3 linked regions of the Diceros bicornis minor genome follow. The protein of the gene in region 2 purifies or fractionates together with the protein of the main gene of each other region. This does not show direct contact. Links are inferred from orthologs where the notes say so. Each region holds a gene or a part of one and is shown on either strand. Other genes may lie near its edges. The genes, in order: EPC2, MRGBP and MBTD1.

Region 1 (10,270 bases), on a different chromosome or scaffold from region 2:
AATCTGAAAAGCCAAGAGCAAAAGTCAGCAAGTAAGTGATGAAAAACTACACTTCTTAATAATATTCCAATCAAATCAATATCTTTTGAAGTTTCCAAAATTATAAAAAGTAAAAAATATTTACAAAAACTATAATGAACTTTATAATAGTTCAAAAGATAATTCAGGGTTCTGTAAAACGTCAGTATGAAGCACAGAGGTTATGAGAATGGGCTTTTGTGACATTAAAGGCAAGGGTTTGAATTCTAGGCCTGTCAGTTATTAGCAGTGAGACCCTCCAGCTTCTTCATTTATAAAACAGGAACTATAATACCTCATAGGGCTGTTACAAGAATATTAAATGAAAAGCAAAAACTAGAGAAAACAAATATCCAACAACAGATGGATGGATAAAGACATTCTGGTATATCAATTCATTGTAATACTATTCAGTAATAAAATGGAATGGACTGATACATGCAACAAGGATGAATCTTTAATGCCTTATGCTGAGCAACAGCAGCCAGACACAAAAAATATGTATGATTCCATTTATATGAAATCCTAGAAAAGGCAAAACTAACCTACAGTGAGAGAAAGCAAATCAGCGGTTGCTAAGAACTATCAGTGGAGAGGGACTGACCTGCAAAGTAACACAAGAGAACTTTTTGGGCGTTTGAATTGCGGCTGTGTTTCCATGGATGCATGCATTTGTCAAATCTCATCGAACTCTATGATTTAAATGGGTATGTTTTATTGCATGTAAATTATATCTCAAAGAAGTTGGATTTTAAGAAGAATTAAATGAGGGCCGGCCCCGTGGCTTAGCGGTTAAGTGTGTGCGCTCTGCTGCTGGCAGCCCGGGTTTGGACCCCGGGCGCGCACTGACGCATGCTTCTCCGCCCATGCTGAGGCCGCGTCCCACATACAGCAACTAGAAGGATGTACAACTATGACATACAACTATCTACTGGGGCTTTGGGGGAAAAAATAAATAAATAAATAAAATTATTTAAAAAAAAAAGGATTAAATGAAATAATATAGGTAAAGCGCCTAGCACCTGGGGCGTAAGAAGTATTCAAAAAAATGGTAAATATTATTAAAAACATCAACTACCAATACACAACACTCATGGGAAGGTGGCAGAATCACTGATCACCTGATCTTTCTGGTTTAGATTCTAAATAAACATTAGTTTACAGTATCTGACCTAGACTAAGTGGCATCAGGAGCACTACCGAGACCAAGTTATGGGGAAGATGCCAACTGGCAGAACTGAGGCTAAAGACAATGAAAATAAGGAAAGGGAATAAAAGAAGTAAAAGATGCCTGCATGTTCAAAAGGAAAGAGAGAGCTAAAAGAATGATATGGTCAGCAATGATAGAGTGCTACCAATGCCAAAGAACACCTAGATTACCTCATCTAGGCATTGTCAGAACGTAACTCAAACCTGAGTCAATGACAGTATAAACAAAGACTAATGATAGTCCAATGGCTACACAGAGACAGTCCTTAATTTTATGGGGGGGGGGAGTGGGAAGGGGGCAGTGGACCAATGAAGGTGTTAAAGCCATGTCAAAGGATTCTGCCAACCAAGCAGGAAAGGGGTCATATTGTGGACAGTTTAGAAATGCTGAGCAACAATTATAAATCCATAAATGAAGGGTTTTGTTGTTGTTTTTACAAGTCTATGTTTACAAAAAAAAAATACTTAGAAAGGGGGTCAACCCGGTGGCATAGCGGTTCAGTTCACACGCTCTGCATCGGCGGCCTGGGGTTCCCGGGTTCGGATCCCTGGCATGGACCTAGGCACCACTTATCAAGCCATGCTGTGGCGGCGTCCCATATTAAGTAGAGGAAGATGGGCATGGATGTTAGCCCAGGGTCAACCTTCCTCAGCAAAAAAAAAAAAAAAGAGGATTGGCAACAGATGTTAGCTTAGGGCTAATCTTCCTCAAAAAAAAAAAAAAAAACTTATAAAGGTAACTAGTTAGAACATGTTGATAATGGAAATTAAACTGAAATACAACTCTAGTGAAACACAAAATATTTCTGAAATTTATGATATTTTACTGCTGCTTAGAACTGTTTATCAAAGCAAAACATTTTTCTTTAAATGAGCAAATAATTCTGCTTAATAACAGAAGTTCTGTAATTATGACTGGGAGAATTGAATTGGCTGTCACTCACGAAAGCACAAGTCTTCTGACTTACATGTTAATTTAAAAAAGAAAAAGAAAAAACTAACACCCTAATTGGACATTCTGGGAAGCAAAAGACTTATAAATCTTAACTGTCAGGAATTCTTTAGTTTTGTTTTGATTTTAAGAACCTCCACTTGAACATTAAAGAGGCAGACAGGACAAAAAGTCAGAAGTCCTAGGTTTCAATTCTAGTTCTACCAGAATTTGGATTTCTTCCTAAAATTGAGCAGTTGAAGCAGGCTACTTAAAATAATCCAACTTTAGCACTCATGCTCTAGATTGAAAATCACAAGTTTTACTGAAAAAGTCAATAGTACAAAATTGTGATGACGTTAAGCATTTATTTTTAATACATCACTAAAAAAAACTAAACTGCAAATTTTCTTCCTAAATTCAGATAAAATATCAAGATCTACGTGACAAACTAAGGACCTAAAGCAATAATTAAGTATAGCTAATCATTGTTTGCAAAACCTAATACATCGTCCAGGGGCTAACTGTTCATTCTAGAACAAGTTTCTTGATTCAAATTCTTCCCAAAACAAAATAATAGGATCCAAGTAATTACATATATTATTGATACTTTAAGACTCATAAGCCACTTTTCTTTTGGGGTCGAAACCCAGAAAATAACTAACAGAAATTTAACATTTTGGAATCCAAACCGGTGGTTTTTAAAGTTTAATTCAATTAATTCTTGTACATACTACAACTTTCTTAATTATCTTTCCCATGGAAAAATGAGCTAAGTTAGAAATAATTTTTACTTAAAAAACAAAAAGAATTCTCAGGAAGTACTTATCTCTAAACCTTAAGGATAAACGTCGAGTTTTCATCTTATTTATTTAAAAAAAGTTGAACGTTGAATATTCATTCTGATACTACCGCCATATTCATTTTCTACTGAAAGTGCAAAACATTCAAGCAATCAAACACTAAAGAGAAATGTGATTAAATCACAGCAAAGATTAGTAATAACAGGGTAATACAATGAGGTCAGAACTCGAGCAGCCAATCAGAGGCATAAAAGCATTTCCTGCAATATTAACAGTTAAAAGAGAAAACCAATCACAGAAACCTCGAGCTTTCTTTTGACAGTCACAGAAGCAAGAGAACCAATCCACGCACACCCGGGGTTGACAATAAGGCGGGACCGCAGGTTCATTGAAGAAATTCTGGAGGGTGCAGTTACTATGAACTTCGCACGCAAGTAACACCACTCCAGAGTCATAAACACTGTCATGCCAGATGAAATCCAACCGTATGCAAAATTCAACCAATCAGGGAGGAAAAAAGCAACATTTTTGCCAAAAAGCGCTGTACTATTAAAAATGCAACTGTCAATTTACATGCACTAGATCTTCAACTTCTAAAAGACCCCCCCCTCCGATGACAATCACCGGAGACGCGGCACGGGGATAGCGCAGCGCCGGCAGCTCGTTGCTGAGCATCCCCGCTTCCTTCCTAACGCTGCGCACTGAGCTGGCGCATCCCGGTGAGGCAGGCAGGCAGAGCCGTCCCGCTCGGGGCCGCGGAGCCGGCCGGTCAGCAGCTCTCTAACGCTACATGCCGCTGGACAGTCGCGGCCCCCGCCTCCCCCGCCGCAGTGCTGCACCGCCTCTCCCCGCTGCACCACCGCGGGCCAGGGAGCGAGGATTACCTTGCTAGGAGAAAGATGACGGGTGTTTTGAAAGCGCTTTACTTTCCATAAGTCATTTCAAAGAGAACCCAGTGCAAAACTAAATTTTAAGTGAGGGGGAAAAAAAAATCTTCCCTAATCAAAAGATCCCTCGCCCATTAATCAACCCCGCGCCGAATGAGGGGGGAAAAAAAAAGGTAAACAGAGGCCATACGCCAAGTGCGGCCAGAACATCCCCTGCGCCATTCCCGGCCGCCGCTTACGGCAAGGCCCCCTTACGGCAGCGTAAGCAGCGCTGCGAGCTAATCACAACACTGGGACGCAACAACATGGCGGCCGCGGGCGGGCGCTGCGCCGGCCGAGAGGGTTTACGCTACTCCGCCGGCGTAGAGTCCCATGCGTTGGAGCGGCAGCGGCGCCCTCCAGCGAGCGTAAAGCGCTCTGTGAATGGCGAGGCCCGACTGACAAAAGGGAGGGGGGAGGAGGGAAGGGGGGGTAATAAACACTCGAGTCCCTACCGATTCCTCCTCCTTCTCCATCCCGGTGGGCATCTGGGGCACGGCCCGGTTGATGGAGACGCAGTCGTTGAGATCAGGCATGTCCTTGCCGCGGTAGATAGGCAGCGGTTTGGCGGCGTCCAGCGCCCGCGCTCGGAAGGAGAGTTTACTCATTGTCTCCCCGCCTTACAGGAACAGCCCGGGCGGCGGCGGCGGGGCGGGCGGGGAGGGGGGGAGGACTCCCGCCGCCTCCTCCACCTCCTTCCTCAGTGCAGCGCGGCCGGCCCGCTCCTCCTCCTCCTCCTCACTGCCCCCGGCCACAGCATGGGCGCCCACCCCGCCCGAAAACAGCCCCCCGCCGCCCGCGGCCGCTTCCACACACTAGATCCGCCGCTCGCCCGCCCGATCCGCTCCCTGCGCCATGGCCAACATGGCGGACATTACCACAGCGGCGGCGAGCGATCCCGGCAGCCCGCGCGAGAGCGCGCCCCCGCCGCGGGGACGCGCCTCGCCCTCGCCCTCCCTCCCTCCCTCCTTCCTCTCCCTTCCCCTCCCTCGCCTGCCCACCCACTCTCTCCGCGGCGCGGCCGGCCCGCGGGAGCGTGCTCAGCCTCCGGCCGCTCTGGGGCACAAGGGGGCGGCGGCCGCGGCGGCTTTCCGCTCGCCGGCCGGCGCTCTCGCCGTGTGGCAGGTGCCAGGTGCGCAAGTTAACCCGCGCCCCCGAGCGTGCGCCTCTGTCTCCGCGGCCGCGACAGCCCTCTCGCTGGGCGCCCGGGAGGAAGGCGCCGAGCAGCGCGTGTGTGCAGAAGTGTGTGAGCGGGAAAGGGAGACGTCAACCAGGGCCACAGTAGCCGCCACCGAGCCTGCACTTATAAAGCGCTTATCTCCAAGGCGCCGCGAGCGCCGGCTAATTCGCATCCTCCAATTTGCGCGTCCCCGGGACGTGCGGAAGGTCCATGCCGTCTGCCCACTCAGAGGGGCGCAGACCTGCCGCGTCTCGCCCGCCCCGAAAACGCGCACTCAGAGCCAGCCCTCTTTCCCGCACCCCCTCTTCACTACCTAACCGAAAGAGCTCTCCAAGGTAAGGCATCCTCGCCTTCGCGGGGAGGATGCTAATGGCAGCAGTGAGGGTTCATGTTTGAGGCTGCCAGACGCAACAAGTGCCCTTGAACCTGTCCCCCAAACTTCATAGAGTTATTTAGTGGATGGTGGATACTGACTTCAAAAATATTAGCCTTCCTAAGAGTTAAACTTATAAAATTTAACCAAGGCAGCACACATTTCCAAAGTGGCAGATGTGCGTAAAACATTGAGTGCCGTGGAAGACTCAAAGAAGTTTGAGATCAAGTTCCTGCCTTCATGGAGCGTTCACCTTATTGGGATGACAGGACGGTTGGAAAGATGGATAGTAGTAAGAGATGTAAATAGTTGAAGAACAAGGCAACTGGAAAGATAAATGATAGCAGAAGTAAGTACTTGAAGAAAACTATACAAGAAAGATGACACAGGCACTAGAACATGATTAATTACCAAATGAGTTGTACTGGCAATAATTGCCAGGAAAGTTCAGAGAAAGGAGGCGTTACTTTAGCCTGAGCTGGTTAGAGAAAGTTCTAAAGAGAAGGGAAAATCAAGTTGACTCAAATAAGTACCAGGTATTGTTGACATCAACCTCATTTAACCAAGTTTCTTGGTTAGTCTTTAAGCATTACAGTTTTCCTACAAAATCCCTGGAAGAGTGTAACTCATGTTACCATTTCTAATAATTGATTAATGTTCTGCCTAGCTCTGAGAAAAGTAGATGGTTTCTGAAGTCCAGAAGTCAAAAAAATTGATTCCTGCAGTCATTTCTGTATGACATCAAAACTCTCTTCCTCCATTACCTCCTCTTTCTCATCCACGTCTTCCCTTCTCCCTTTTTCCTCCTCTTCCTCCTCCCTTTTCTCTCCACCTCCCGCTTTGAAGGCAAAATGATGAATATGGACTTCATGGCAGTGTCTAAATAGTCTAACTGTTTGGCCCAGCAAGACTTCCAGCATTGTTTAGCCGGGCTTGAGTGTTTTCCATCCACTTTGTTGTTGGAAACAATGGAGATGCTGTGACTCACTTCTTGTAAGCAATACCTTCCTCAAGCTTATAGGCATGTCCTGCTCTGAGCGATACCCTCTGGAGCAGTTCCAGTTCTCTGCAAGGGAGAACAAGACGTTGTTGGGAAGGGGTCAGCACTGGATTCAAGCCTGAAAGGGAGGAGGTGTGGGGAAGCGATGTTTGAAGAAATGAGTCATCCAGGGCTTTTATTTGAGTGCCCAGCACTTCTCAGGCTCAGAAGGGATAGCTTTCTTCTATTCCCTGTATTTATTGTTACTCTGTCTCAAGAAAGGAAGTATTGAATATTGAAAATATACCAGTCTCTATAGTGGTACTTTATATATATTATCTCAATTAATTGCAGTCCACTTAATTCTCATTATAACCCTATGAGGAAATATTATAATTTTACTAATAAGGAAACTAAGGCTCAGATAATTTGCCAAGTTTCAACACTAATAACTCACAGAACTGGGTTCAAATCCAGGTCTAGCCTGACTCCAAAACTCTTGTTTTCTCCACATTGCCAAGCTGCTGTCCAAGCTCTTCGGTTTATTGACCATTCAACATTCTAAAGTTGCTGATCCAAATTACTGAGACTTTTTAACCAATAGCCAATAGAGTGCATAACCCAGAGCCTAGAGATGCGATAGCCTCAAGGAGGGCAGGAACTACATCTGCTCCCTTATTCACTGTATCCCTAGTTCTGTGCCTCACACATAGCAGGCACCTAATATATATCTGTTGACTGATATTCCCTAGAGAAATTCAGTGACACTGACCCCATTCCACTCCAGCTTGGAGTTCACCTACCTTATTGGCCTGTCACCTGACCTAGCCATTGCTGCCCATACTCGCTCTTATCATGGCCTACATTTCTCTCCAGCTTCCTACCTTTGGGCATAGGAATTTTAGAACCAATTAAAGCAATTCAAAGAAATTTTTTTGAAACCTGAAATTCTATTAGAGGAACAGGTTTTAACTGGAGTAGTTGTTGTTTTGTTGTTCTTTTTCTTTGACCATGTAACAGATTTCTTCCCCAAATCTCCACTTTCCTCTTGCCCTGTAGGTAATGATTATAGCTGGGAATAAAACAGTTTGAGGCAAATAACACAATACGCTTTTTAAGTGAGACACAGCCTGTGTTTTCTTGGCTTCCGATTCAGTGCCCAAACCAGAATGCCTCTGTTTCACATTTGGAAAGTAGCTTTTATTTGTATACAAATATTATTTTTCATAAAGTTTATTTCTAATCTATTTGTTGAATACCCATATACTTGTTTGTGCTAAAAACAGAAAATATCTTTTTAACTTTTGAAGTAGATCCTGTTATAAAATATCTTTATCAAAACCTGTTTCAAATGATTGTGCAGCCTAATAGCCTATTTTAATTTCCACATACAATGCACTGAGTACAGTCATTCCCAAATCTGTCCACTTCAAATATGCTCTGGACCAATTCCAAATGACATGCATTTAGCCAAGCAAGTGTAGTGTAACAACACCCAAGAATTAAAAATAGTTTTAAAGCCATATCAAAAATAAAACCACTGTCTACATGTAGTCTAAATTAGAATAAAGATCAAGTAAGTGTAAGAATTGGGATTATATTCCAGTTTCCATTTCCCCATATTACAGTCAGGGCAGGCAGCTTCCAAATAATAAATTACTTTTTGAAAGGAAATTTAATACTAGTAAACACAGTTGTTATTCAGTTATTTCAGAGTTTTGTAAATGTCACATTCTTTCTAATTGGCTCCCTATTTCGGCAAACCCAATTGAAAGTTAATTGGGTTGGTATGTGGACTGCATCCCCACCCCTCCCCCTTATGTTCCCAGGAATGAGCCCAGTACCAATAAAGCTTCATTGTTTTCCATATGTAATCTGAATGTGGGGTCTGCTTTCATTACAATCAACTGGAATCAGCCCCCTGGTTCCAGTGCCCTTTACTGAGGCAACTCTGAATCTTTGAGACATAGGGAGGGAGACTGCACTCAGTGGTGACATGCCAAACATCTACTTCCACCTTTATATTTACCGTAGTGGGAAAACCAGACGCTAAATAAAAATTTGTGGCTATGGCTCGGTCTCTTAGCAGCATCGCTCCTCTCAGACCTGGTTGGAATCACAGGGTGCCACCTTGTGTATAAGCTGACGATTTACTTCCCAGTTCCACAAAGGATCCAGATAGGCTCAAAAATAATCAGCCCGAAAACTCTGTATTTTATTAACCAAGGAAAAAATGAGACAGATGTAATTGAAGGAAACAGATTTGCAAACACACAGCTCCAGAGGGTCCACGACACTCAATTTTGAATCACGCTGACAGCCTGTCTCATTTGTTTCCCCATTCTGACCGGAAAACACACCCAATCCCCACACATGGAATAGATTGACACCACTCACTCAAGCTTTTGCGTGGGGATACCAGAAATAAGTAAAGCTCTTGTGACAGAGCTAATGAATCTGACTAGGACAATTATCTGTGTCCAGACAGCCAGTGAACTACGTAGATTTAATTTCAGGACTTTGGATTTCTGAGAGTCACTAGCTTCCATCGAATATGATTCTACTTATTTTAATAAAGTGCTGAATTTGAAACAAGGAAACAATTGTTGGAGCAAGGCCACAGGAGGTAAAATAGGATCCTTTCCAATCCAGCTTCCTTGCCCTTGAGAAAATCCACACTTCTCTAAATTCAGCACAGCTGCCATTCAGCTGCAGCCACTGTTACATTCATGAAACTGGCTGGACCTTTCATATTATTTTCAGTAGGGAGTTGGAGTGGAGAGCCTGGGGATTTGGGGCTACAGGTGCACATCTCCTGTTGGTTTAGGTCTCCTAGAACATCTTTTCCTCTCAATTGCCTTCCCTGGCCTCCTCCACCGGCGCATTCTTTTCTCCTTAAGCATCTCTGAAAGGTAACTTGGAAGGTGGTTTCTCTCTCTCTGTGAAGGCATTTCAGTCCCACTGATGTGCTGGCACATCTCAGGCAGCTAAAGCAGGCTCAGAGCACCGAGCCCACTGGGGTCCGAAATGTTAGCTAAAGGGAGTCCGATGTTAGGAACCTTGGGTTGCTATTCTAAATGTGGGTCCCCTCACCTGTTTTTTATCTCTCCCACCATCAAAGAACTACTGTTTATAAGCACAGATTTGTGAATGGAATACACAGTTGGAATCTTAAATTTTAAAAAATTGGCAAATTGATTTAGTAACAGCCATGCTTTATTGATCTTATCTTTGTTGTTCCCAAGAACAAAATAGCCTGTTTCCTAAGAAAAGTTTCTGGTATTAGCATGTTGAGAGCTCCTAAACAAAAACCTCTGGAATTAGCATACTGAAAGCCCCCTAAACTGCAGAGTGACTTGTTAGGAGGCAGAAAGGAAAGCAACTTCATGTCTCCAAATTGGAAAACAGGTCTACTTGTCTTTCATCAGCTATTAAAGATGACTTTGGCAGAGGAAGAAACAGAAACCATTAAAATAAAATACACTAATTACCTAGATATTTACTGACTCACCCACACCCTTCACCTTGTTTTGGAAAGGATTTCAGGTGACTTTTGAGAGTAGGTAAAATGTGTGAGGATAGCATTTGGGCTCTAAATTTTCTAGTGATGTGAAATTTCGTAGTCATGTGAAAATAGGAAACCTTGTCAGCTTCACAGTTCACAATGTTGATTAGATAAATTGATTGCTCAGGAGATTTACAGTTGTTCCTGGTCCTAATCATAATATCCAAGAGTTCATAAATAGAGCAAGTAGGTGGTATGACAGACACCTCAACAGTATCCTTACAATAGACACAAAAGAGGCATCCTAAGGCTGTTTCTAGTAGTGACCCTCCATATAAAATGATGG
Region 2 (9,680 bases):
GGGAGCATCTACGTTCGGCGCCGCTTGGCGGAGCTGGGGCTGGAGGGGTTGCTGTTGGCGGTCAGGACTTTGTCAGCGACCCGGCTGCGCTTCCGCTTGTCCGCCCCTTCTCTGGACCCCAAGTCTGAGGAGTTCTTGTCTTTGTCTTTGCTGGATTTTTCTGTGGATTTCCCCAAGCTTCCTGAAGATGAAAAAACTGGGAGACAAAATCATTTGGCTGAAAATAGAATATCCAGAATTTTATTTCATCTTCCTGTTGAGTTAAAAGACTCTGCATCTACACACGTGACACTCTGACCCAAAAGGCTTCTCCAGAGCTGGGGGTGCCCGCGTGGCCTGAAGAGTGCCTGGTCCTCCTGAGGATGTGCCTACCACGCGGGCCTCGGGGAGCACACGCTCAGCTGCAGGACCCTGCCACGGCCATCCACGCACGCCCATCCTACAAGGCGGAGCGAGGCTTGGGCCCTGCGCGTCTTTGCTATTCGGGGTTTGTCCTGTTCCAAGACGACAGACACACGTGTGACTCCAGTCGGGCCCCCTGCACTGCACACTGTCCACCTGACTGGACACCAGTGCCCGAGGTTGCCCTGTGGTTTCTTCACGGTACTGGCCACGTGCAAGACCTCCACGCACGCCGAGGCTCCCGCCTGGGCAGACGGAAGCTGCCTTCACAACTGCTGAACCAGGCAGAGCGGCAATGGCTACAAGTGGACTTGAAATACAGGCTGGGGACATGCGGCTGCGCCCTGCAGGGAGGCCTTGCAGGGGGTGGGGTGCCGTGTCCCGGGCCTCAGGGGAGAGGTGGGGCGTGCTCCACACTTACCGTCGTCGGCCCCGTTATGGGGGTCCACATCCTCCTTCATCTCCTCTTTCATTTCCTCTTCAATGATCACTTTTCCTGTGGGGGACACAGCTGGTGGTTACCGAAAGCCAACCTGGGGGTGGCTCAGGCTGGGGCTGCTCCTGACTTGGGAGGTGTATGGACCTCGCTGCTGCCAGGCCGCTTTTAAAGATGCTGACTGTTCTTGAACAAAGTCCTCCCTGATCCCAGGAGGCTCCCCAGGCCTCCCCAATCCAGGTGGACGGAGCATCACATCAGCGACCCTCGCTTCTCCCTGAGGTCATGACCTTCACCCTGACACCATGTCCCATCTTCTCTAATTCCCAAATCTGACCCCACCTGAGTCTCACCTTCTCGGACTTCTTGAATGATCTCTTCTGGAAGGACGAAGTTCCTCTCTGGATTCGGGAATGGAAGAATCTCAGACTCGTGCTGATGGCAAATAGGGTGTTTTATTTTTTTTTAAGAAACGAAGAAAATGTGATTTTAGCAAGTCACTAAAAACGTGTAAGAGCCAATTCAGGAGCAGCCAGCGAACGCTCACAGCTGTCTTAGAGGGCTGCAGTGGGTGGGCGCCAAGCAGGTGAAGACTTTGTTCTTTCTGCTCGTGGGGTCTACTGGGCTGGGCTTTTCACACAGACTCAGAGGAAGCAAAAACTGCAGTGCAAGCAGTTTTGGGGGACCGGCAGGAGTCCCCTGAGATGAGGCTGGGGCAGCTGTCACAGGGCCAGGCTCCCCACTGATGGCTCCCTCACCCCAAGAGTGCGATCAGAGGGTGGTGACAGCCCTGAGGGAAGGCCATGGTGCCTCCGGTGCCCATCCACGTGGCAGGAGCCAGGCTGCTGGCAGGGAAAGCCACCTCCACAGAAACCAGGTAAGGAAGGCAAAGTGGAGCAAGGCACCCTGAATGCTTATGCGGTTCCACCCGTCCTGCAGGTCACACATACCAGGAGGGACAGGGACCCCGGAAACACAGACTGCTGGATGAAGGGAAAGCTGAGCTGGCTGACCAACATTTGCGAGCCCCTCTGGCTCCTGGGCCCACGGGTCACCTTGTAGGTGGGGTCCAGGGACTCATATTTACAAGGCCCTGGATGACTTGGCATCAGCAGCCCTATAGTGGTGATGAGGTCTAAGGAGATGACAGGCCCGAGGCCTTGCCCAGTCCTCAATGAGCAGCACCCTGAAGCTCCGTGAGTGTCACGTGGGCCCCATGCTGGGCATCACAGCTACAGGCTCCTCTGAGCGAGTGTCTGCAGCTCAGAGCTGTCTGTCTGTCTCCCATGTGACAGGGGCTCCCCCAGGACAGGGACCCTGCTGCACTCATCTGTGTCCAGCATCCATCCAGCCCCCACCAGCCTGGAGTCAGGGCGCGGAGGGTGCCTGGGGACCCAGTGACCCCACGTGACAGGCATGGAATTCACAAGAGCGAGGCCGCTCCGGGAGGACTTCCTTTAGTTTAGCAGCTTGTCTTCAACGCAGCAACAGCAGCTCGAGTTTCCAGGGCACTTGCTGCAGGCCGGGCGGTCAGTCCCAGGTCACAGCTGTCATCTTTATCCCCTTTCTATGCTATGACAAGGAGACGCAAACAACTCGCCCAAAGCCAACAGAAAGAAGTGGCACAGCAGGATCTGGACGCAAGAGCGGGGCAAGCGTTCTCCGCCTCAGCAACGCGCACGCAGGTCTCAGCCGGGAGGGCAGGTGCAGCCCCGAGTCCAGGGGGAGACAGAGCCTTCCCTAACCATGGCACAGGTTCCCACCTCTCTGGTCCCGAAACCCCCTCTCACCCCACTCTCCAGGTGCTCTGGCCTCTCTAAGCTCCTTGACCCACCAACTCCTGCTGCCACGGGGCCTTGACACCTGCCGTTCCTCTGCCAGAACAACCACCTGTCTCTTCCAGCCATCCTGGTTACCCAGGTAACTTGCTCACCTGCCCACACAGCTGGCTGGGGGTTCCATGAGACCTCCCTGCCTGCCTGGTGCTCACCGTTGTTCCTCTTAATGTGACTTACATCTGGTCACCTTCCTGCCTGGAGCCTCTGGGCCGTCCCATAAGACTGACAGTGGCCTAAGGGGCCCCCACAGGCCTCAGCTTCCTAGTTACCTCCTTAGAGAGACCTTCACTAACCACCCAATTTGAGACAGTTCTGCACGGGTAACCAGCTATTAGATTTCTGTATTTTGTAAAACTACTTTGAGCTATCTTGTTAATGTGCTCCCCCAGGGGACGTCCATAGGACATGAGGACAGGGGCCCAGCACATCCTCGAGGAGGAGACATGGAGGGGGAACTCTGCCGCCAGATCCGTCTGGGGAAGGCGGGGCTCTGGCCTTGGAAGGCCTGGGGAGGGAAGGGTCAGCTCACCAGGGCCTGCATGTCATACATGGTGCTCAGGTGGTCCCAGATGACCTTGGACGGGACCTGCCGACCGATGTTCTGGCTGAACTTGTCCCGGATACAGATCATGTGGAAGTGCCGGTTCACACCTACAGGAGGAAGGGGTCAGCTTGTGGGGGGGGGGGAGCACAGCAGGTAAGAGAGGAGGAGTAGGTGGGGGGGAAGGGGCAGAGGTCAGTGAGGTGTAGGAGGTGGTGGGGGTGTAGGACGGTGCAGAGATGGGGGTAGGAGGAGGGAGGGGTAAAGGGGGGGCAGGGGGTGGGGCACAGGAGGAGTGGGTTTAGGAGAGGGTGGGGGTGCAGGAGGGGTGGCCAGGTGGGTGGGTGTAGGAGTGGGGAGGGGTGGGTGTAGGAGGAGATGGGGTGAGTGGGTGCAGATGGGGCAGGGATGGGTGACGGAAGGGGCAGGGGTGGGTGGGTGCAGGAGGGACAGGGTGGGTGTAGGAGGGGACAGGGGTGAGTGGGTGCAGACAGGGCAGGTTTCGCGCAGGGGACAGGCACGGGGGTGCAGGAGGGGCAGGGTCCGCGGGAGGGGGACAGGGGTGGAGGGTGCAGGTGGGGCAGGGGTGGGTGCAGGAGGGGCAGGGTCCGCGGGTGGGGGACAGGGGTGGAGGGTGCAGGTGGGGCAGGGGTGGGTGCAGGAGGGGCAGGGTCCGCGGGTGGGGGACAGGGGTGGAGGGTGCAGGCAGGGCAGGGGTGGGTGCAGGAGGGGCAGGGTCCGCGGGTGGGGGACAGGGGTGGAGGGTGCAGGCGGGGCAGGGGTGGGTGCAGGAGGGGCAGGGTCCGCGGGTGGGGGACAGGGGTGGAGGGTGCAGGTGGGGCAGGGGTGGGTGCAGGAGGGGCAGGGTCCGCGGGAGGGGGACAGGGGTGGAGGGTGCAGGCGGGGCAGGGGTGGGTGCAGGAGGGGCAGGGTCCGCGGGTGGGGGACAGGGGTGGAGGGTGCAGGTGGGGCAGGGGTGGGTGCAGGAGGGGCAGGGTCCGCGGGTGGGGGACAGGGGTGGAGGGTGCAGGAGGGACAGGGTCCGCGGGGGGGACGGGGGTGGGGGTGCAACAGGCCCCGTCCCGCCCGCGCCCCGGCCGTTGCCCGCCCGCCCCGCCCCCACGCGGGTCCGCGGCGCCCCGCTCACCGACAGGCTTGTGGCCCAGCATGGCGTGGAAGAGGCACACCTCCACCTCGGGGCTCCACACCACCGTCTCCTCGGCCGGGCTGGTGGCTGCCTCGCCCGGCCCCTTGTCGCCCGCCGCGCCACCGCCGCCCACCTCGGCCTCCCCCATGGCCCGGCCGCCCAGCGACGAGCCCCCGGCGGGAGCGGGCGCGGCCACGGCTCCGCGCAGGCGCACTCGGGGGGCGGGCGCGCTCTCGGCGGGCTCGCGCTCGGGCTCGCGCGCGGCGTCGGCGCAGGCGCAGCTGAGGGCTGGCTCGCCGCGCCCCCTGGCGGCCCGGCCCCGCGGCGCAGCGCCGGCAGAACGGGCGGATCGCGGAAACGGAGCGCGTTTGGGGCGGGGGACCGAAGCCTCTAAATGAGGGCGTGGCGGCGGCTGCACAGTTCTGGGTACGCCGCCCTGAGCTGAGCGCTTCGAAGGGCGGGATTGCAAATCACACCTCCGTGGAGCGTTAAGAGAAGAAGAACGAGCAACTGACAATTCCGCGGGCGTGGGCTCCCAGGGCTTCCATTGCCCTGGCCGACAGGGGCCCCGCCGCCGTGACGCGGTCCTCGGGGGTGACCCGCAGGGGGGCCTCGCGGGTTAACGGGGACGGTGGGGGCAGGGCCTGGGCGGGAGCCGGCAGGGTCTGGGGCGGGGCCTGAGGCAGTCTGGTGACGCGCTCAAAGCAGCACCCAATAGAGGCCGCCGGCTCCGCCCCCTCCCCACCAGGCCCCGCCCCTCCCGCCAGGACCCGCCCACGCGGTGTCCGCCCAGGACCCGGGGGCAGAGCGCTCTTCCCTGCCGCCGGGTGTAGACTCCGGTCGGGCTTCCGGGTCCCCTTCCGGCTCTGCGGGGGCTGGCTGTGTGGGCCGGGCCAGGCGCTGCGCCTCGTTAGGCCGCAGTTTCCTCCTCGGGGCAGGGGGACCACACGGCGCACCCCCAGGGGTTCTGACCGGCTGGCTGCCCTGCCCGCCGTCTGCCGGGCGCCCCGGGCCCGGCCAGCCCCGGACACGCGCTCGGGTTTCCTGGTACACAGCTGGAGCCACACTGGTGCGCGCTGCCCCTTAGCAGGTGCTGGCTCTGGTCAGCTTCACCCCCTGGGACGGCCTCAGAGTGGGGCCAGCTGGCTTCCCATCTGTGAAGGGGGCTGTCCCCACAATGCTACCGGGGGGGGGGGGGGGGGCGGGATGGGTGGCCTAGAGAGGGGTCCGCAGTGGCCCAGGGCCCCCAGCAGTCATGTGGACCTGAGATGTGGCTGGACGTTCTGTGATTCTGGCCTGTGTTCCTCTCCTCTGCCCTGACCCACAAGTGGCCCTTGCCTCAGCAGGTTGCTGCAAGGCTGGAATGAAGCACAGCTCGAAGCCACTGAACACAGGCTCCCTCACGCACTAAAGTGCTCAACAGATGGTGGCCCTCGGCATAATAAATCTCCTTACTGTTCCCTGGACACTGTGGGGTCCCTGCTCCCTGACCAGGTTCGCTCTCTGCTCATCCCCACCCCATCCCAGCCGTCTTCAGTCTGGAGAGCCTGGTCCTCCAGGAAGGTGCCGCTGAGCCCCGCAGAGCAGCTTTGGCCCCTCTCTGTGCCTCTCTCAGGGCCCTCGGCCTCTTCTGCCCTGCACGGAGTGGCCTGTGCCCGTTTCCTTTCCTCACTGTGCTGGAGGCTCAGGAGGCCGGGCTGCGTCTTGGTCCTCGCTGTCCTGTGTGTCAGAACCGTGTTGGGCCAGCTGCTGTGGTCCCCGGATGCCTGGTTCCTTTTGCTATAGGCAGATCCTGGAGTGTGTATCTGGGGATCAGACTTGACGCAGACAGGTTGGATGATTTGGGCAAAGGGAAACCACCTTCTCCATGTCTTTCTTACTTGAAGCCTCCCAGGAGCTGCCTCCTTTCTTTGCTTCCCCAGTGCATGTGGAACAAACTCGGCCTGTGGGTTCCATGCTCAGAATCAGGATGGAGCTGAACGCTGTGCTCACCTGCCAGGACTTTGCCTAATACCGTTCGTCCTTGTTTTTACACATATGTGAGCACAGCTGGAGCCAGACTTAGGCAAGATTAAGGAATCTGGAACCAGAGAGGAGGCTGGGCTTCCAGATGGGCATTCCGGATCACCACTGTGACTGTGCTGTCAGCCTCTTGGTTTTGGTGAATCGGACAATAGGCTTCAGAGCGATACCCAACCCTTGACTGTGTTGGTGATCCTGCATGGGTGACTGGGCCATCCAGGGAGTTCTTTAGGATGAGTGGTTTCAAAATAAGATGGGGAAAAATGGTTAAAAAGTGAAATGCAGCTGAATAGAGAGATGATGTGTGTGGGCACATCGTGTGTGTCCATCTGGAGGATCACGAGGCTCTAGGCTGAAGGAAGCCCCTTTAGCTGATGAACAGAGAGCTGCTGAGGACAACTCCTCCGTTATGAGCGGTTTCTTCCCACCCTGATTCTGAAGGCAGGTGTGGGTGTTATGCAGGGATGAAGGCACGGCTGCCTAGGAAGGGGGCGGTCGCCCGGGGAGTGGTCGGCAATGGTCTCTTGAGCACCTCCTGCTGCCTGGCACGGGGGATGGAGAGGGCGTGGACATGGTGCCTCTCCTCACAGCCCATCGTCTGGGGATCAGACTCACACGGAGTAGGAAGGTGGGGATCTTATCGTGCAGGATGAGCTGAGAGAAGAGGAGGACCTTTCCTGGGGACAAGGACAGCTCCTGGGGCGGCAGAGCTCCAGAGAGAGGCCGTGGGTGTGGTGGGAGGCTGACTCTGAGCCTCGTGCTCCCCGTCTCAGCACACAAAGTGAGTGTGGCTTGGGCACACAGAGCATCCCCACTCTGGGACCTTGAAGGCCTGGGCACTTGCTGACAGCGGCCGGCTAGGACCCAGGGCTTCCCCTGGACGTTCTGGGCCATCTAGACCTGCAGGGCCCCTGTAAAAAAGACGTTGTTTCCTCTTCATCTGACATTGGGGACACAGGGCCAGATGTAACCTGCACCGAGCAAGTAGAGTAACGTGACGAGTGTCGTGCCAGGTCCTGGGTGGGCGGCAGACCTGGTGGCTCCCCTGCCCTGCACGTGTAAAGAGAGGGAGGGGCTGGATGGGTGCCCCCTGTGCGGCTATGGGCTGGCCGAGAGAGAAAGCGCCCAGGGAGGCTCGTGGAGAGAGGTGAAGTGACGTTAGGGACATGGAGGGGGGAGGGGTGTCTGTGTGCGTGTGCGCGTGTGTGTGGTGAGGAGGAAGGCTCAGGGAAGTAAGTCCTGGGAGAGACAAGTAAGAATCGATGGATACAGAGCAAAAAAGCTTTGAAAAGAAATCTGTCATCTATCTATCTATATCTATCTGTCTGTCTGTCTCTCTGTCCATCCGTCCATCCGTCCACCTATCCATCCATCCATCCATCCATCCATCCCTCCATCCATCTATCCATCCATCCGTCCTAGAAGGTAGGACACACATAACTGTGGCCCCCGGGGTGGGCAGCCGGGGCAGGGGTGCAAGGAGACCTTTTCCTGTGTCTTTTATATGCTGGGGTTTTTGAACCACATGAATGAGTTACCTATTCAAAGAATTAAATGAAACAATCTGACATGCGATATGTTATTTGCAATCGTTATAAACAATAAATCTAATTATTTTTATGAGGTATAATTGACATAACATTCTGTTAGTTCCATGTGTGTAGCATAATGATTCGATATTTGTATATATTGTGAAATTATCTATTTATTGAGAAAAGATGGCATATTCCTTGTCCATAAAAGAAGTCAGCAAAGAATGAGGCAGGTGCCGGGGTGAGGAGACCTGGGACAGTGGGACCCCCGGTGGTCCCACGTCCACACGGAGACCCAGGCTCGGTGGGAACCTGCTCTGTGAATTTCCTCTCATCATGAATTTCCCCCCATGGCCCCTCTCTGAGGGAGATGCCGCGGAGACTCCCGGGGTGAGGAACCTTGCCATGGTCCCATGATCAAGGGCAGGGCCAGGAACTGACCTCCAGACCCACGCCTCCAGGACCCACCTCCCTCCCCGGCCTGCCCGGCCTGACCTGCTCTGGTTCCCCTGGATCCTCACCTGGGCTCCCCCTGGCAACCCACCCTCCAGACCCTGGGGCCACAGATGCCTCTCTCCCCCTGTGCCCCCTCTCTCCTGCCCAGACTTCAACTCTCAGGTCCAAGGTTGCCACCCGGGGGGGCTCTACCGCCCCAGACAAGAGGGTCCTGTTTGGTCCATCATGGTCCTACTGCTCATCGAGTGTTTGGGGCACCCCGTCACCTGCCTGTCATCACAAATCACTGGTGACAGCTCGTTCGGTGTCCACCTTCCTTGCCAGGCTATCAGTTGGCACCAGGGTCAGGGCTGCTCTGGTTTTGCACCACCGGCCCCACCTCCCAGGCAAGGCCTGGCACACAGCAGGTAGACAATAACCATTTGTTGATGAACTGACTGACTGACTGACCTGGGCACTCCCTTGATCATTGTGACTGAATGAACTCCCCCACCTGTGTTACCCAAATTTCCTTCAAGAGATGCACTTGGCCTCCCAAGTACCTTGATCCCAGGAATAGGGGGTTTGGACCTTAGGTGAGAAACACCTAGGCCCTGGAAAGGGACTTCTCTCACAGTCAACAAACAAACAAGCCTTCTGGTTTATACATCGGTCTTGTATGAGTTTGGCCAGTGTGACTCATTCCCCAGACCACCTCTGGGTTCTGACCAAGGGGGTTGCTGATGTCATCTCTCGAAGGTGGTAACCACCACTAACCAGAGGGCACCTGTCCCCCACCTCCGAGGGGACACCTGGTTCTTGGTCACAACAGCTGGGTCCAGTGGAAGGAGTGCTTGAAAGGCTTTGATCAAACATGCCCTGTGTGTTCACATGCCCTTGTGTCCACACACCCTGTGTCCACATGCCCTTGGTCACACCGTCCTCCTCTCTGGCTGAGTCTCTGGGAGGGAAGTGGAATTCCACCGCAGCATGGCTGGTCCTGCCCTGAGGGCTGTTCCTCCCTGGTGCATACGCCAGTGCTCCCGCCGGGGAGCCTGGAGGAGCACGCTGACGTGGAGGAAAGAGCTCACCCACGTCCATCTGCTCGACCACGGACCACCCTCGGGCCTCAGACGCCCGGACACTGAGGACAGCTAAGTTATCTATGTCCCCGGGCTGGGGTCCTCACAGGTGAGGTGCCGGGGGACCGAGTGGCCGCCAGCCAGGGTGGCAGAGATTTCTGATCCGGCTCCGGGAGAGGCTTGCAGCCAGCACATCCCACCTCTAGAGGGCGACTCCCGCCCACTGTTTGGACCCAAACCCCGGC
Region 3 (9,808 bases), on a different chromosome or scaffold from region 2:
GGGGTATTTCTCTGGTGTATAAAATAATCTGAAACTAGCTAATTAAACTTCCAAAGTCTAAAAGTAAAGTAATAGATGGCAGTATCCAATATTTATTGAGCAATATATACAAATCATTATGCTAAGCACCAGAAAGACAAAAAAGTGCTAGATTTAATATGCATGCCCTATGACTAGACTGTAAACGATGACCAAATAGTTCGGAGGACAAGAAATCACTAAATTAACTAATGAACACTGTATACAACCAGCTCTCTACGAAGAGAAGTAGGAATTAGAAAATACAGTGAAAAGGGAAAAAGAAAAAGGGATTCTGGGACGATATCTTAACATTTTAATTACCATTTACAGCAGCTTACATTTTCTTATACAGTGGTCATCACACCTGACTGGAGGGACCTTGGGATGGAGGCAAGGCTCATGTTTGGCCTATATTTTAGATGAGGAAAATGAAGCTCCAAGAGATGAGCCAACTTGCCCAAGATCACAGGTCAGGAGTTGGCAGAGCTAGAGCCTGGCCAGTTTGCCAACTCTGTCCAGAGCTCATTTCTACTACACCAAATTTTAAGTTATCAATACTAAAGTGAGAACCAGAGGGGAGCCCAGAAATCTTCTAATGCAGTGTTTCCCTAACCAATCTGATAAAATACTTTCCAGGGCCTGCATTAAAAACATAGATTCCCAGAGGCAGCCCTGATGGCCTAGTGGTTAAAGTTCGGTGCAGCCTGGGTTTGGTTCACAAGGGTGGAACCACACCACTCGTTTGTCAGTAGCCATGCTGTGGTGGTGGCTCACACAGAAGAACTAGAAGGACTTACAACTAGAATATACAACTATGTACTGGGGCTCTGGGGAAAAACAAAACACAAAAAAAGAACACAACACAGATTCCCAGGCCCCACTGCAGACCTCTGAATGGTAACCTCCAGGGGAAAGGTTTGTATTTTTACAAGCGCCCCAGGAGGAGACTCTAGCGATTAGTTAAGCTTGGAAAATACCTGTTCTCTATCTGCATGTCCAATACGGCAGATACGTGGCTACTGAAATTCACACTGATTAAATCAATGATAATAATAATAGAAAAATTGAGTTCCTCAGTCAACACTAGCTACCTTTTAAGCGCTCAATAGCCACATGTGGCTACTGGCTACCTTACTGGACAGCACAATGATGGACATTTCCATCATTGCAGGAAGTTCTACTGGACAATGCTGATTCTAGACCAAGCCTTCAACTGTGAGGAAGAGAAAACTGAGGCACAGGATCTTGTCCAACAAGTGCCAGGAAGCTAGTTAGTGGCAGAACTGAAACTCTATACTAGTCTCCCAGTGCCCCTCTTTCTATATCACTCCATTCCACCTCAATTCAGGGTGTATTCAAATGGAATTATTTCCTTTCCACTCTTGCTTATGGGTTCCAGCAAAGCAAGAAGAGACATTCTAAATTTATGCGGAAAAAATTCTAAAAAAAAAAGGTTTATTAAAAAATCATGATTAAATCTAAACCAATCTGCCATCTCGGTATAAAATTAAAGGTAACCTTGGACAGTTAAGAATACCCTGGTGTTAGCAGGCATATCTTAGCTTGTTTTAACTATTTTAAGTCCTTCCTCTTCTTTGTCCTGATGTTTTTATCTTTCTCTTGGATTTGAAATCCTGAAACTAATGATACATTTTTAACTGGTTTACCTTAAAACTATAAATGTGAAAAGGTTAAATCTTATTTAGCAAACATTTTAAGGATGAAAAATAGAGAAACAAAGAGCAACCAAAAGGATAGTGACTTGTCTAATTTTAGAATGTGGTCACTCAAACTACTGAGTACTTGTGGCTCATAGTAATTTAGTGGTTTAGTATTTATGACATTAATATGCTGTTTTCACGTCTAAGCTATAGTTTTACCTTTTTTTCACTACTATGTTATATTCTAAAACAACTTAAATTGCTTTAATTTCCAGTGTAACTGAAGGATTAGAAGCATTTGAACATCTAGGACAGTTTAGACACTAATCAGGTCAACATATAACCAGCCATAAAAACTATAACACTGTCTTCTTTAAAAATAAAACCAGTTGTTCCTGTCTAGTACCTTTAGAATGCAAATGTCTCCAAAGTCAGTCAACTTAAGTCATGACAGTTCATGTTTAAAGTAAGCAGGAAAATAACTTGGAACTCATTAATTACAGCTTTAAAGACAGAATTATACAGCTCTATCAGTTTTTTCAGTATCCAGTATTCATTTCCACGTTACATTCCAGTGACTAGATTTAGAGGAAATATTATAAGTCAAAGTTTGTATAAAATTAAAAATTGGATGTTAAAAAACATGGTCCAACATAACATACTTATGAACAGATACTTATTCAAGATAGTTTTTGCCATAATTTGCAAGGCACCAGAAGCCTTGAGGATGGGGTTTTATATAAATAGAAGCTACTTGTTATTCAGAGGAGGTGGTGCAAAAAAAGACAGCTATTTTCTTTCTAAACACTCATTGGTGTTGAGGTAAACAAACAGGGAAAAAAAAAAATACAGCCTAAGCACACTAGAGCAGAGCAACAGTCTCTAAGTCATAAACGGGAGAGAGAAAAAAAGGCCTCTGCTCTAACATTTTAAACAGGGGACCGGGTGTTTAAACTGAAATTTATTCTCTGGCTTTTAGACCAGATTCATGACTTCTACATTTTATCTGTTATGTCTTGACTCCCACTTTACCATATTAGGAAGAAGAAACTATGTGCCCCCAAGATTCTTATACCAATAAAACTTTTGGAGGCAACGTAGCTCACCAAATGAAGGAGAACATTAGAAAAACACTAAGTGACAATAGCAAGAACCAAACTATCTCAACAACTGAGTGATAAATACTGGTGTTACTAATGTAAGGAGCATGAAAAACATTGCAAACTCTAAGCAACTACTAAAGTGTTACAAAAATTCCAAATCTCCTAAGAGTTAAAAAAAAAAAAGAAAAGAAAAGAAAAGAAAGAAACGAAAGCATTGTGAAGGAGGGGCCCTGAGAAGGAAGTCCAGCTTGAAAGGAACACATAGGTCAAGAAGGGGAAGGAGGAGCACTTCTACTGACCGTCCCTCTACCAGGACATGCTTCTAACAGCTTCAGTACTATCCCCAAGAGGCAATTTTAGGCATCCTTAGGGAGCGATTTAGGCAACAGGCAAATGTGCTTTCAGACACAAGAACTATACAGATGATGCTGAAATTTCTAACCTGGAAAACATGCACTAGCGAGAGAAAACAGCCACGAAATCCCAGACCGTAATTCCCAAGCTTCCTGTTGAAAAATAGCGGTTCTCAGACATATAAGCCACCACATTTGAAACTGACCCAGCAAAGTTTTCAGCTGGCCCTCACTATCTCTCAAATCCTCCTTCCTCCACTTCCCTGCTGTTCTTTCCTGGCACACAAAATATAGGCCAACGAGCAGTGGGTGGGTGAGGAGGATGTGAGAGAAAATTTGAGAAGTAAAAAACGGAGCAACTTAACAAGCACATGAATGAGACTGAAGGGTCTAATAAGGGCAGACAAACAACGAGAACAACTGAAAAACGCACTGGGTTTCCTGGGCAGCAGTGAAAGCTCAGTGTTTGTAGGGTTTAAGCAGAGGCCAGACTACCTACCACTTGTCAGAGAGGCTGCAGAGGGGACGGCTGCTTTGGGTGACCTCTAATGTCTCTTCCGACTCTGAAATGTTAGGATTCTTATTTCACACAAGAGAACGCAACGGTCATAGAAGCCCACCGACTTAGAACCCTGTTAAATAAGCGGCCCAGGCGGCTGCTTCCTAAACACCACTCCCACCTCTCCCTCCCACATCTGCCCACCCCGCCCCCTTTCAAGATTTCCACCTCCACGTGCAAAATGCCTCGCAGCACTCGCCCCAAAGCGGACAGGCGCCTTCCCCTGCAAAGCACCAAAACTATGACCCCCTGGGGGAAGTGAGAACACTCTCCCACCCTGGGTGGCAAAAAAGGAAAAGTCTCAAATCCAGCCTTTCCCCCCCGAGCCAGAGCTGAAGGGGTAGGGGAGGCGGGACGCAGAGAAAAACTTTCTTCTAAAATTTTTCTTCCAGAGAGTGGAGGGGGTTAGAGAGAACCCCGACGAGTCCGGGGCTGAAAGGGTGGGGGGAGGGGAACCCCTGAATCGTTTAACGGCCGGTAGGGGGAGGGGGGCTCCGGAGATGGAGGGGGCGTGAGATGGAGAAGCAGGCCTGGGAGCGGGGTCAGGGAGCTGCAGGGGTTCCTGGGGGTCGGGAGCTGCAGGCGTCCCCCCCACCTGGCACACAAAGCGGCTGCCGCGCTCGGCTCTCACCAGATCCTTTGTGTTTTCCATCAGGGCCTCATGGGTAGGGGTTGTCCGTGCTCCCCGGGCCAGCGGCGCCCCCTCCCCGAGCTGGGGGCAGGCGCCTCTCCCCGGGACTACGGCGACTACAGGGGGCCCCCGGTTGGGCCCAGACCGGTGGCGGCTGCGGCAGCCCCCGGATTTCCCCCCTTTAACTCGGGTGGCCCCAGGATATCAACAACATTAGCATAGCCCTCCCTCCCCAGCGCGCCTGCGCCGTGACCCGCGCCCCGATTGGCCCACTTCCCTACATACCCTCCTCTCTCTCTTCCAGCGTGGGACCCTCTGCAGGCTCCGTACTCCAAGGGCCGTACCAAGACGAAGGGGGGGGAAAGGCAATTGGGGCTCGTGTTAAGTCGACTGGTTAACAAGTCAGGAGGAGGAGCAGAAGTTTCGCGCGATCATCTCAGTTTATACTCTGGCTTGCTTGTGCTCCTTTCAATCAGCTGCAGCTGCGACGATGTGTTGGAAAAAATTTTCCACTCCGCTCACGCCGCTTCCCCCTCCACCCGGAAGATTGGTCCTCCCGGAGGAACTCCCATACGGGGAGGGGCACGTGAGGAGAGTGGGCGTTACGTAGGGAAGAGAGTGCTGGTCACGTGGTAGCAGGCTGCGCAGGCTCCTTCCGGCCCCCCGGGGCCTCAGCCGCCGCGGACAGGGAGGCGCCTCGGCGCACGCGCAGTGAGGTTCCACGTGAGCTCCTGCGTTTCTTCTCAAACCCAACGATGCCGCCGGAACGGAGGAGCCGAACGAGACTGGACCGAAGAACCGGAGCGAGGCCGGACCGGAAGACCCGAATGAGGCCGGACCGCAGAACCGGAGCGGGGCCAGGCGGGCCTCCCCGAAAGGCTGCTCCTTCATCCCAGCGGAAACCGCCGGCTCGGCCGAGCGCAGCGGCCGCTGCGATGGCAGTCGCGGCGGCGGAGGAGGAGAGACGGCTCCGGCAGCGGAACCGCCTGACGCTGGAGGAGGACAAGCCGGCCGTGGAGCGGTGCCTGGAGGAGCTGGTCTTCGGCGACGTCGAGGACGACGAGGACGCGCTGCTGCGGCGTCTGCGAGGCCCGCGGGTGAGGGAGGCCGCGGCGCGCGGGCTGGGCGCGCTCGGGCGGGGCGCGCGGTGGGCGGCGAGCCTCCGGGGGCGGAGTCTGGGCGACCTGCGGCGCCGGGGAGCCTCAGGTGGGAGGGAGCCCGAGAACGCGGGCGCCGGGGATGCCAGAGTGAGTCTCCGGAGGGCGGGGACCGCGCCTTTCTCCGCCCCCGGGTGAGCCGCCGCGCCTGGTATGCAGCAGGCGCTCAACACGTCTTTGTTTCGCGAACTGTGGTCGTGAGCATCTTTCGCGTTCAGCTCCCCCATCCTTACTCCGAAGGGTTTCTTCCCTCGTGGTTGTTCGATCACCTGCATCAATATCTTGCCGTGATTCGGGAGTTCCGCTTCATTTGTAGAATCGGAATTTGCGGGCGCGGGCCTGGGAATCTGCGTTTTAACCATCTCCCCAAGTCTCGCCAGCTTTTGAGAATGACCGTGTGCTTATTTGTCTATTCAACGAATATTTGTGAGCCCGCTGGGTGCCAGATACTTTTTTTGGCGATGAAAATCCTGCGTAATTGATTATAATTTTTCTACTCTTTCTATCACCCCTTGTATCTATACGTGGCTTTTCTTCCAAGGTAGGGAGTCCCAGGCATTGTTCTAGGCACTGGAGGAGACACAGTAATAGACCAAAATCCCTGCTTATGTACTAGTTGCAAAGGCAGAAGATAAAGGAGATAAGTAAAAATCATTATGTCAGTGGCAAGTGCTTAAGACAGAAAGAAAGCATTGGGGAAAGGGAGCTAAGTGTGTGTTGAGGAGGCTTGTGAAATTTCATGTAGGGTGGTCAGGCAAAGCCTCGCTGAGAATGACTCAGTTTGGTAAATGAAGGCGGACCTAGCAAGTATCAACTGATTGCCAGAACCTCCTTTGGTGCTTATGGGAGAAGCTGCAGAAATCTAGTTGGGAGATAGAGAAGAACTACTGGACTGTGTGACAGTTTCCTAGTCAGGAAAACGGTCTATGAGAGGTGGAATTTGTTGGGTTTTGAAGGATCGTAGGTCTTTAATAGAGTAGGTAGAAATCATCGTGTGGTTTTGGGAAAGATCAAGCATGTTTCAGGGGATGTTCTGTGGTCTGGATTTAGATTTGATTGTACAGTATAAAGTTTCTTAAGGAGGTAGGGGGTCAAGAACTTAAGAAAAATGGAGATGTGTGTCTAAGAATATGAAATCCTAATTAATTATGACATTCAATCATGTTATTTTGTCTTGGATGCTAGTTTGCCTCTGGTCCCGTAATTTCTGCAGTTGTGGATTTTTTCCTGCTCCTTCATCTGTCTGCTTACCTTTTGTTGTTTTTGTCTTACTTGGTGTTTTCCTTTGAGCATGTTGACATTCTCTCCCTGACTGTTCCCTCTTACCTCGCCTGTCCAGCGTGTGGTGACATTCTCTAGTCTCCTCATTTTGTCTTCTGCCTCCAGCATTTGCTGTGGTGGCATTCTGTCCCATTATTTCATGAGAGGGCTGTAAAAAACAGAGCATTCTGTAAGCTATCTTAACTACAAAATGTGTCTGTCTGCCACCACAGGATATGAAAAACAGTGCTTGAGGGGGTTTTGTCTTCTCTAGGTTGAAGTACAGGAAGACTCAGGTGACTCGGAAGTGGAGAATGAAGCAAAAGATAATTTTCCACCTCAGAAGAAGCCGGTTTGGGTGGATGAAGAAGATGAAGATGAGGAAATGTAAGTTGCATAATTTTTCTTCCAGAATCCCTGTGGGTACTTTAAAAGTTATTTTGCAGGTTTTAAAAAAGTTCTTTTTAAGAATATGCGATTATGTGAAGATTTGAAAAATACTGGAAAGTATGGAAAAGTCATTCATAATCCCACCGCTGAGGTAGAACCACTGATAGCATGTTGGCATACTTCTCTTCCCGTCTTTTCAGTGCGGTATAGAATAGCTAGGACAGCAGTGTTTGCTGTCAGACCTGAGTTTGCCTCCCAATTTGGCCAGTTCCTAACTGACTGTGGGCATGTTTAGAATCTCTGTTTTCTTGTTTGTAAAATAGAGGTAATAATAGTGACTATGTCAGAAGGCTCTTGAGATTAAATGAAATAGTGTATGTAGAGCTCTTTGCACGATGCCTGAAACCGAGAAAAGGCTAAAAAAAAGTTAGCTAGCGCACACAGTATGTACTTTAATAGATGAGAATCTACTGTATTGCAAGCATTTCTCCTGCTTTTAAAAAAAAGCCTCTATCAACATTTTTAAATGAGTGTATTATTGTCCATTGTATGAATTAACCATAATTTATATAGCTGTTGTTGGACAGATGTTCTGATATTTCTCTTTAATAAATTAATGATGAGATAAACATCTTTATGCATAAACCTTTTTCCACTTTTCTAATTATTTCTTTAAGAAAGATTCTTTGAGGTGGAAATACTTAATCAAAGAGCACAGACATTTTTCAGGCTCTTGATAAATACTGCCAGATTGACCATGAGGTTCTACCAGTTGACCTTCCCACTGAAAGGTTTGCCTTTTCACTCCGTTCTTATAAGCAATGATTTATCTTTCTTCAGACTTTGTCGGTTTAAGGGGTGGGAGATAGCTACCTAATTTGTGTTGAGAAAACATTTTTGTTATTAGTCATTGGTATTTATTAAAAGTATTCTCTATTATGTCTTTGATTATTGGAGACTGTTACTTTTTATTTATTTTATTTTTTAAGTAAAATTGTATGTATTTAAGGTGTACAACATGATTTGCTCTACATATACATAGTGAAATTATTATTACAGCAAGCTAATTAACATATCTATCTCCTCACATAGTTACTATTTTTATTTGTGGTTAGAGCACCTGAAATCTACTTTCTTAGCAGATTTCCAGTATACAATATAGTATTAACTATAGTCATGCTGCTGTACATTAGATTTCTAGACTTATTCATCCTACATAACTGCAACTTTGTATCCTTTGACCGACATCTCCCCATTTCCCCCACCTCCCTGCCCCTGGTAACCACCATTCTACTTTCTGCTTCTGTGTAGTCTACTTTTTTTAGATTCCGTATATAAGTGAGGTCATGCAGTATCTTTCTTCTGTGTCTGTCTTATTTCACTTAGCATAATGTCCTCCAGATTCATCCATGTTGTCAAAAATGGCAGGATGAGACTGTTTCTTAATGATTGTCATATATCAGCTCCCTACATATTGAGAATTTCAAACCTTTATCTGTCAAATTTATTGCAGGTTTTCTCCCAGCTTTCTGTTTGCCTTTTAATTTTGTTTTTAATATTTGACATTCAGAATATTTACGTTTTTATATAGTCAAATTTATGAATCTTTTCTTTTTTTTTGCTGTTTTTAACAGTAAAAAATCCTTCATCAGAGAAAGACAAGTGTTTGCCTGTATTTTTCCTTCATAGTATTTTAAGATTTGGTTGTTATGTATTTAACTCTTTATTTTGCTTGGAATTTATTTTGGTGAATGGCATAAGCTGTGTCTAGATAAGTCATTATGAATTTGAAATGTAAGCTGTTCAAAGGGTAAACTAGATGATCTGAAATATTGGAGACTGCTTTTTGTTTTGGAAAGATTGGAGAATATGCATGTGAGATGTTCCACATCTTACAAATCTTGACCTTTATTGTTCAATTAAATGTTTTCCCAAAATATTAAAGGCACCAACTATTTACGTTGATTCTTCAAAAATCATTTAAAGCATGCTGTTCTGTTTGTTATAGGGTTGACATGGTGAACAATCGTTTTCGGAAAGATATGATGAAAAATGCCAGTGAAAGTAAACTTTCAAAAGAGGAACTTCAGAAGAGACTTAAAGAAGAGTAAGTGTCGTTTATCATGTGATTTAACCAAGAGATATTTATAACAGTAGTTTATTTCGATTCACTCAGTCTTTGGCTGTAACAGCTTCTTGGGTAGTGAGAGTTCCCTTTTGAAACAGTAAGAGCATTGCTGTTGGAAGAAATGATTAAATTTTAGTATTTTGTGGGGAGAGGGAATACAACAAGTACCAAAAAAATTTGGAAAGAACTAGTAATCCCACCACCCAAATATAATCAATGATAATATTGCTTACTTGCTGATTCATTTATATATGGTAGACCATCTCTTTCCATAACTTCTAGGCTCTTTTAGTTGAACAGAACTAGGAAATATGATGTATATTTTAAAATAATGATCTATTGATATTTCCAGTTCAAACTTAAAGATCTTTAAAAATATTTTAAAATATTTTTGTTTTTATATCGACAATGTTTTTTAATATTCTTAGAGGTTCATTGCATTATCGCTATTTTTTTAAAGTAGGTTTATTGAGGTATAAGTTACACACAGTGAAATTCACCCTTTTTAAGTCTCATTCTATGAATTTTGTTAAACACATATAGTC

What was found.
Region 1: the proteins of MRGBP (region 2) and EPC2 purify together in Homo sapiens (co-immunoprecipitation; 4 studies listed by BioGRID and IntAct, counting the BioPlex papers as one, with this or other methods). This does not show direct contact. The link is inferred for Diceros bicornis minor from reciprocal best matches to the Homo sapiens genes MRGBP and EPC2.
Region 3: the proteins of MRGBP (region 2) and MBTD1 purify together in Homo sapiens (affinity purification with mass spectrometry; 4 studies listed by BioGRID and IntAct, counting the BioPlex papers as one, with this or other methods). This does not show direct contact. The link is inferred for Diceros bicornis minor from reciprocal best matches to the Homo sapiens genes MRGBP and MBTD1.

What each region holds. Positions count from the first base shown.
Region 1 is NC_080749.1:32,911,460-32,921,729, reverse strand, and holds the start of EPC2 (enhancer of polycomb homolog 2), read right to left. Parts: upstream 4,764-10,270; 5' UTR 4,496-4,763; coding exon 4,343-4,495; intron 1-4,342. UniProt on the Homo sapiens protein: May play a role in transcription or DNA repair.
Region 2 is NC_080758.1:1,346,442-1,356,121, forward strand, and holds the start of MRGBP (MRG/MORF4L-binding protein), read right to left. Parts: upstream 4,528-9,680; 5' UTR 4,513-4,527; coding exon 4,365-4,512; intron 3,328-4,364; coding exon 3,206-3,327; intron 1,274-3,205; coding exon 1,192-1,273; intron 899-1,191; coding exon 824-898; intron 197-823; coding exon 9-196; 3' UTR 1-8.
Region 3 is NC_080757.1:35,216,098-35,225,905, reverse strand, and holds the start of MBTD1 (MBT domain-containing protein 1), read right to left. Parts: upstream 4,522-9,808; 5' UTR 4,350-4,521; coding exon 4,329-4,349; intron 3,702-4,328; exon of another isoform or gene 3,638-3,701; intron 1-3,637. Other genes in the region: UTP18 (U3 small nucleolar RNA-associated protein 18 homolog), read left to right, coding at 5,084-5,425, 7,020-7,132, 9,144-9,242. UniProt on the Homo sapiens protein: Chromatin reader component of the NuA4 histone acetyltransferase complex, a multiprotein complex involved in transcriptional activation of select genes principally by acetylation of nucleosomal histones H4 and H2A.